Struthio camelus: one gene and its partner. The protein of the gene in region 2 interacts with the protein of the main gene of each other region in a pairwise test. Links are inferred from orthologs where the notes say so. Each region holds a gene or a part of one and is shown on either strand. Other genes may lie near its edges. The genes, in order: CPSF4 and FIP1L1.

Evidence for each region.
Region 1: the proteins of FIP1L1 (region 2) and CPSF4 interact in binary tests that used the Homo sapiens proteins (3 or more experiments, as listed by UniProt). The two-hybrid records come from large-scale screens. The link is inferred for Struthio camelus from reciprocal best matches to the Homo sapiens genes FIP1L1 and CPSF4.

Annotation. Positions count from the first base shown.
Region 1 is NC_090956.1:4,548,496-4,552,399, forward strand, and holds the start of CPSF4 (cleavage and polyadenylation specificity factor subunit 4), read right to left. Parts: upstream 2,985-3,904; 5' UTR 2,828-2,984; coding exon of another isoform or gene 2,821-2,827; coding exon 2,718-2,820; coding exon of another isoform or gene 2,423-2,717; intron 1,748-2,422; coding exon 1,697-1,747; intron 1,199-1,696; coding exon 1,046-1,198; intron 254-1,045; coding exon 158-253; intron 6-157; coding exon 1-5. Other genes in the region: PTCD1 (pentatricopeptide repeat-containing protein 1, mitochondrial), read left to right, coding at 2,423-2,827, 3,187-3,539. UniProt on the Homo sapiens protein: Component of the cleavage and polyadenylation specificity factor (CPSF) complex that play a key role in pre-mRNA 3'-end formation, recognizing the AAUAAA signal sequence and interacting with poly(A) polymerase and other factors to bring about cleavage and poly(A) addition.
Region 2 is NC_090945.1:57,345,305-57,349,208, forward strand, and holds the start of FIP1L1 (pre-mRNA 3'-end-processing factor FIP1), read right to left. Parts: upstream 2,623-3,904; 5' UTR 2,548-2,622; coding exon 2,466-2,547; intron 1,495-2,465; coding exon 1,455-1,494; intron 1-1,454.

The DNA of each region.
Region 1 (3,904 bases), on a different chromosome or scaffold from region 2:
GGGACCTGCAACACAAAGCTCAATAGTTCACACTTCATATACGTGTAACCCAACACTCACTAACAGCAGGTACACAGGCAGATCTTGCAAAGGAAAAATAGCATCACCCTACCCTTGCTTTATAGGCACAGAAGCAGCAACTGTGTGACATACATACCATGCTTACAGAAGCCTCTGTCATACCAGGGACAGTCTTTGATCTTAGACTCCGGGTCAATGTGCAAGAACGGACATTCTTTGTTACTGCATTCCCCTGTACCAAAGGCAAATACGCTTCTTAGCAAACGGTGCAGGCACAAGATCAAAGCACTCCCAAAACATTACCTGAATCATGTAGCTCCCACAAAGCTGTTACCAACATTTATGAGTTCAGGCACAACCTGCCTTGACCTAGATGATAAACACCAAGACTCACCCTAGGTGAGTAAAAGTCTACCAGACTGGATTATTTACGTGTGCTTTTAAAACAATGCGGAAACTGAATTCGAAAGAGCAGTCATGATAACGAAAACTAAACATTTAGTGCACCAAAAGTGTGGAGAAACTACAAATTGCACACTAACCTCAATCCAAGGAAACCTACAAGACTGTAAGTTTCTGACAGCAAGTTGCCTCATTATGTCCAGATCTCCAGAGCTGGAAAGCAAGTGCATAAAAGTTTTGCACCCCCATACCCTCTGCTGCTCATCAACTTCCCAAAATAAAAGTCATGCAAAGACCACCTACTCAGCCTACTCATCTCATACCCAAAACAGAACATTAGGTACAAAACCCAGCGAAGACTTGAACTTCCCCCCTCTTCCCCCAAGGGGCAAGCTCTTGAGAGAGGACACATCTACAACATATGAAGAATTTAGGGGGTAAAATAAGGTGAGGGGCTAAGCAGATCTGACAAATTACAACCTAACAGTATCAGCAGACACAGAAGAGCTGTAATGTTTTGAAGATGGATGAGACAGGGTGAGAAGGATGTATCAAGATCCTCTGCACCATCAGATTCCCACGCTAGCAAGGAACGTCAAGTAGGAGCTACAATGCCCCTTACCAAATTTGGAGTAGAAGTAACACTCAGGCATCTTGGTCATGTCATACTCGTGCAGAAACTCGCACTGGTCTCCCTTTTTGCACAGTCCACGTAGCCAGTGCTTGCAAACAACTGTCTTTTCCCCACTTATGTGTCGGAACGGGCACATGCCACCTGCAGAACAATAGGGCAAGGAAAAAGAAAAAAGAATATTTAAAATCTGCAGCACAAGAAGCTATGCACAAGACAGCAGCAACACTTGACTCCCCTCTGCAAGAAGAGTTTTCAGAAGACTTCACTTTTTCTGTAAGTGGCAATGGCAGAACAGGGAGTTCTTGATAAGAGTCTTCTTTTACTCTCTAATGAGCAGAGCAGTGCAAGCTCCAGCTCTTAATCCGGGCAGCCATGACCCACAGCTACTAACAAGGCATGTGCAGAGCAAGGACCGCTTGCAATCAGTTCAAACCTGTCTTTGCAGGTAGCCTTGCTTATTCACCCCCACTTCTTCTAAAAAATACCCTTACTTCACAATTGTGGCAGCTAATTCCATCTCAGTTATTCCCCATTTTTACAATATACCATGAGCATTCTACACAGCGATGTGCTAAGGAATCTAGTTTCCCTTTCCCCTCCCATCTGTAAAAGTATAATTGTATTGGGAATAGTACTTGCCTTTTCCACAGGCCGCTTTTAAAAAAAATTCACAGACAGCAGCACCTGATTCTGTGGAGAAAATAGCCAAAGAAACACTATTAATTTTTATGAGAATTTGCAGCAATTTTTAAAATATTTCCTTCCCTACAGAGACAACCCGGTTCTCAACATGAAAAGAGCAGTGTTTTGGTTTGGGGAGTTTACTTTCCAGTGCGAGTTCCTTGTTCAAGTCTGGCCCTCACCAATATCTGTAAACTTTTTGGTAAAACGTACACCAACAGGATTTACAGGAGCTTGGTGGTGCCTATTTAGCCTTTCGGAGAACCAGGTTTTGTTGACCAGGCTTTCCTCTGCTATTAAATCAATCACGTTGGTGAAACCAGTCTTTACAGCCAGGAAAACTGAAGTCTTATATTGTTTTGACCAAAAAGGACTGAGACGAGCATTAGGATGCTGTCCCTTGCTGATCCTGACCTACAGGGATCAGATGATTTAAGGGCATTAAAATATTAGTTTAGTAGTCTAGCCAGAAAAATTTTAACAATCTGTAAGTCTCCCTAGACTACTTGTACCAGATTACTAGACTGTAGGAGAAAGCTTAGAGCACAGGCCACAGATACACTCCAAGATGAGATCTTCCTGGTCCTTAAAACACCTCATCCGTGGAAGGGGAACAAAGAAACTGAAGTGCTGTGGAGAAAAGTCAAGTTTATTCAGAATGATGCCTCCACCTTCACTTTCTAGCCTGGTCTGGCACTAACTATGGCACCAAGGAAGGAAAGAAAAACATCTGGGTTGAGACCGAAGCTCTCATAAGGGACAGCAGAAGTTGGCTCGATGCAATAAGAGCCGGCAGAGGGGCTCAGGCCCCCGGCAGCCCCCGCCCGGGGCTTCAGGCAAAGCCGGGCCCCCCGGGCCGCTGCCGGCAGGAGCTCCGGCCGGGCCCCATCCCCGGGGCAGGACCCGCCGGCGGGGCGGGGAGCGGAGGGGACAGCCCGCAGGCCCCGGTGCCCGCCCCGGGAGCGGCGGCCGCACGCACTGTCCATGCCGGGGAAGGGCAGCGGCTGCGCGCCCAGCTGCTGCTCCACGGCCAGCTCCAGGTCGAACTTGATGTGGTCCACGCTGGCGATGAGCTCCTGCATGATGGCGGTGGGAAGGGGCGCGGAAGGAGGCGGAAGGGGGGGGGGGGCCCGGCGCGGCCCGCTGCGGCGGCGTGTGGCGATCGGCGGCCGCGGGATGCCGGGAGTCACCTCTGACCCCCCGCCTCCCGGCAGGCCGCGCGCCTCCGCCAATGGCGCCGCGCCGCCACGCCCCTTCCGCCCGCGCAGGCGCCGTTTGGCGCGCGCGGCGCCGAGCGGGGTGGCGGTCGCCTAGCGACGGCGGCGGGAGGCCTCCTGCCCCCCCCCACCCCCTCCCCGCCCGGCGGCGACGGGCCGCCATGAGGCTGCTGCTGCTGCGGCTGGTGGCCCGCGGGCCGCCCCGGGCCCCCCTCGCCCCGCCGCGGGCAGCGCCCGGCCTGCTGCGGCCCCCGAGCCGGGGGCGGCCGCTGCCGGCGGCCCTGAGGCCGCTCGGCTCGTCGCCGGCGGCCTGCGCGCTGCGCGGCGGGGACCCGGCCCAGCTCGGTCCCGGCGGCGCCGCTGAAGCCGCCCGTGACGCGGACGAGGAGGCGGACGTGGATTTTGGGACGCTATCTAGTAAATTTTCTTCCAGAAAGCATTATCACAAAACCACGTCGCACTTTCAGAATTTACGGCTTCGAGAAGAGGGGGAGGAGGAAGAAGAAGGGAAACCTCGGCGTGGGCCCAAGAACACACCGTACTGGTACTTCTTAAAATGCAAGGCCCTCATTAAACAGGACAAGGTTTGTTCCCAGTTCTTTGCTTGTTTGTTAAAGAGCGTTTGATGATAGAGAGGCAGCACGGTGTTGTAGACTTGCTGGGCCAGGAGCTAAAAGAGGATTCCGTTTGCAAAACCTGGACTACGGCACTGGTCTTTCCTATGCCTGTTTCCCCTCCGAAAATAAGAATCAAGTTAACTAGTCAGTTCTGAGGGTGTGCAATTAGTTCCTCTACAAATTCAACCACTCCTCATCTCCTCCTCCGTTCAGCCAGTCTGTCACCCCCCGTGGCAGTCCTGGGTTTGATATCAAGTGTGCTGCGGCTTCTCACTCCAAACACCTCCAACGCTGTCCCATGTGTATTGTCCTGTGTGGTCACTGTATGTCTT
Region 2 (3,904 bases):
ACCGCAGTTTTTAAGGGGTAACTGTTACCCTCCTTTCTGAGTTCCAAACACAACCTGTAAGAAACATAAGCTGCAATCTGTTGCCCTTTTAGTCCTTAAGTACTATTTAAGGCAGACAACAGGGATCATCAGCCAAGCTAGACTGCATGACACTACTGACCAGAAAACAGAGTAAAACACCACCCTTTCTGCAGATGGTTTTTATTGCCACACAATTAATGTTCTTAAGGGAAAGCACTATTGACAAAAGATGTTACGTCAAAAAAAAAAAAAAAAGATAACTGAACAGAAGGAATCAACTGATATGGAATAGCTTCCAAATGAGGAAGCAAATAAACAGATTATAATTCTTTGTCCTGGAAAAGAGATGATTCAGGGTGAATGGGACAGAGATCTACAAAACCATGAATGCCTTGGAAAAGGTGAATAGAAAACAACTCTCATAAGAACTAATTTGGAATCAAATAATTACATCTAGCAGGCAGCTTCAAACTGATGTCTTATGTAGTTAAGTGATGGAAGTCATTACTGCTGCAACGCACTGTGCACATTAAGAGTTGATACAGAGCAAGCTTATGGACAAGGAGTCCATCAAGGGTTACTTAGCAGAAGAGCTCTCTGATTGAAAAATCCCTGCAGACTGCTGGAAGAGTTTATTGAAAATAATACCTGCATTCTTGCATTGCCTTCGCATTTATATTTAATTTTAACTTACCTTTACTGTCATCAATTTCCATAGCTTCTCATTATCCGAGACTTCTCTCATTCAACATCCAAAAGCTGACTCCTGCTTCCAGGCAGTCCCTACTACAACCCCCACCAACACCAACCCCACTAGATTTTCGAAGCAGCATCTTTGCGCTATCTCTCATACAGCTCTTAATGCCTCAGACAAGTTCCCTTGAACGCTTTCAAAGCTTTGGCTACCTTTCTTTCAAAGGCTCCTTTACTAAACTATCTACCAAACAAACAACAACAACAAAAAAAGTTGAGCAAATGTGTTACGGGACGTATGCCTCAAACTAGCCAGTACTCTCTCGTTGCTTCCTTGTATTCGTCTTTTTATAACTAAACTGTAAGCTCTTTGGGAGCACGCTAGCTTTTACTCTTAGTTTGTAAACCATCTAGCACAAATGAAGTCCTGATTCATGGCTGAGATTTCAAAGCACAATAACTACAGAAACAAAAAGTTCCGATGGCATTTTGTAAAGAGCTACCGATATCCATATAGTTAAAATCTAAAACAACTTTCATATTCAAAAGTATCCCAGTCTCTCAGAGAAAATCATTTCAACGAAAAGCCAAATAAGTTTTTTAGACCAAATGTATTATATTAAAGGGCTCTTCAAAAAGACAAGCATGAGCATTCTGGTGCTATGGACTTTCAAGCAACTGGGAAAAAGAACGTTATGATGTCGTTGTGCAGCTGCACTACAGAATTTCCAGATACCCACCTAGCCTTTTCTTCTTCTGGTCTCTCTATTTCGTTTTCATCTACCACAAGAGAAAAGAAACACAGCAGTTAACAATTATATATTTAAAAATCCCTGAAGACCACCAACAGCAGGTATCTTGCCAAGCGGATTACTAGGCAACTCTTCAATTTACTATCCAGTAATGCTGTAGACGTTTTCATAATGCTTCAATTATGAAATCAGTGAGGCAGACCACAGAACCCTTGCAGTGCTCCGCGCCACCAGGCCCACGCCAGCGCTCGCTCTACCGGGAGCACGAGCATTGCAACGTAAAGACAGGCCCTGGCATCGCAAACAAAGTTTATACCGAAAGGGTAACACGGCTTCAACATGCCAATGGGTCACGTCAGCACTAACGATGGTAACTGGGGTGCTGGAAATCGGTGCAGACCGCTTGGTGTTTTTTTTTTTTTGGGGGGGGGGGGCAAGTGCGGGCTTCTTCTCAAAGGACTTGATGAAAGATAAAACGTCCAACGCAAAAATCCGCAAGGTGCCCCCTGACGACGCGACCCCCGGCGCAGGCGTCGCCCCTCACGGCCGCCCGCAGGTGCCGCGGGGCAGGGGGCCACGCGGGGCAGGGGGCCACGCGGGGCAGGGGGCCACGCGGGGCAGGGGGCCACGCGGCCGAGCTGGGCCGGGCCCGGCTCGCCGCCGCGCTGCCGCTGGGGCCGGGGGCGCCCGAGGCGGCGGCGCGGCGCGGCGGGGCCATGGCGGCGGGAAGGGGGAGGCTGTCGCCCGCCGGGAGGGCTGGACGGGAGGAGGGGACTGCGCAGCCACGGGGGTGGCGGGACCGGGGGACCCTTTAAAGCGGCGCGGGCCGCGGGCCGGGCCCGGCTCCGGCGGGGGCAGGTGCCGGGCGGGCGGGCCGCGCTCGCGGCCCAGGCGAGGCGCGCACGCCGCGGCCTACCGGGCCGGGCTGGGCCGGGCCGGGCCGGGAGCGGGGCCTGGCGCGGCGCGGGGCCCGCGGAGGGGGTCGCGGAAGGTCCGTACCGCCGTAGAGCCACTCCTCCTCCTCGTCGCCGGCGGCCCCGCTCACGTCCGCCGCCAGCCGCTCCACCTCGCCGGTAGACATGGCCGCCGGCCGCCGGCGCCCAGGCCCGGCGGCGCCCAGGCCTCCTGCGCCTCCTCCTCCTCCTCCTCCCCGCGCCCGGCAGCCGCGCCGCGCCGCGCGGGGCCTCCGCCGCCTCAGGCCGCCTCCGGGCTGCGGCCGGCGTGTGCGAGCGCCCGGCCGGGCCTCCGCCGCCGCCCTCGGAGGAGCCGCCGCCGCCGCCGCCTGCTCGGCGCTTCCCCTCCCCCGCCGAGTGAGTGACACGCACAGGAAGCGGGCCCGGCCCGGCCCCGCGGCGCCCTGGGCACGGGCATGCGGGGGGCGGCCCGGCGGGGGCGGGAGGGGCGGCCCGGCCCGGCCCGGCCCGGCCCGGCCCGGCGTGAGCCCCAGCCCGGGCCCCGGCGCCGCGCTCACCTGGGCCGCGCCGGCCTCGCCCGGTGCCTGCCCGGGCTGCCGGGGGGGCGGCGTGTCCCTCTGCGCCCCATCGGCCCCTCGGCGGAGCTGGCCGGCGGCGGGCGCTTGCCGCGAGGGCTGCGGGGGCCCGGCGCCGGCAGCAGGGCTGGACCCAACCCGCGCGCAGCCGGGGCAGCTGCCCGGGGACGAGCGACGGCGCGGCACGGGCGTGCGGCGCTGCCGCCTCTCCTGGCTGCCAGCTCTGGGGCCCCTGCGGCTGGAGGTAACGTTGCGGGGTTTAACAACGCCTTACACGCTTTTCCTCCGCTAATCATCCGATTTATTTGGGTTTTTTTCCCAAGCTCCGGTAAGAATTCGCACATTCGCAGTGTGCCGCGACGAAAAAGTTACAGTGGACTTAGGCGTTCCACCGAGAAATTGCTCCATCTTAAAAGCAGCGGGAAGTAGCAAGCCATTTCTAGTGATGGATTGTTCTCTTTTCATCTGTGAATGTTGCATCAACAACTGTTAAGATTCATTATGAAATATTAAGTACCAAAAACTCTAAAAAACAGGTTTTGGCCAGTTGTAGGTACAAATGGAGTCTTCACTGTCTTAGGATGCTTGTGAAAACTGAGAAAGTACCCCTGCCTCACAGGAGGCCCACCTGAGAAAAATCGGATTAGAGCGCTTGACTGTATTATACCACAACACTGGGGGCAGGGGAGCTTTTTCTTCAAACTGTCTGCGTGGTAGACCTTGTTTTAAAGTTTTACCTGTGGCGTAACATTTCACTGAAGTTCACGTGAATAAACCTTACCTTCTCAGAAGGGATTTTTTCTCCTGAAGTAAATTTTAAATATTTCAACGCCATGTACAGATCATGAAAGATATGCTACAATTGAGTAGGATTTTTATCACACAATTCCCTTTTTTTTGTTTATACATGAGTGGAGTCAACAAAGGTGTTTTTGCTCTAAAACATTTG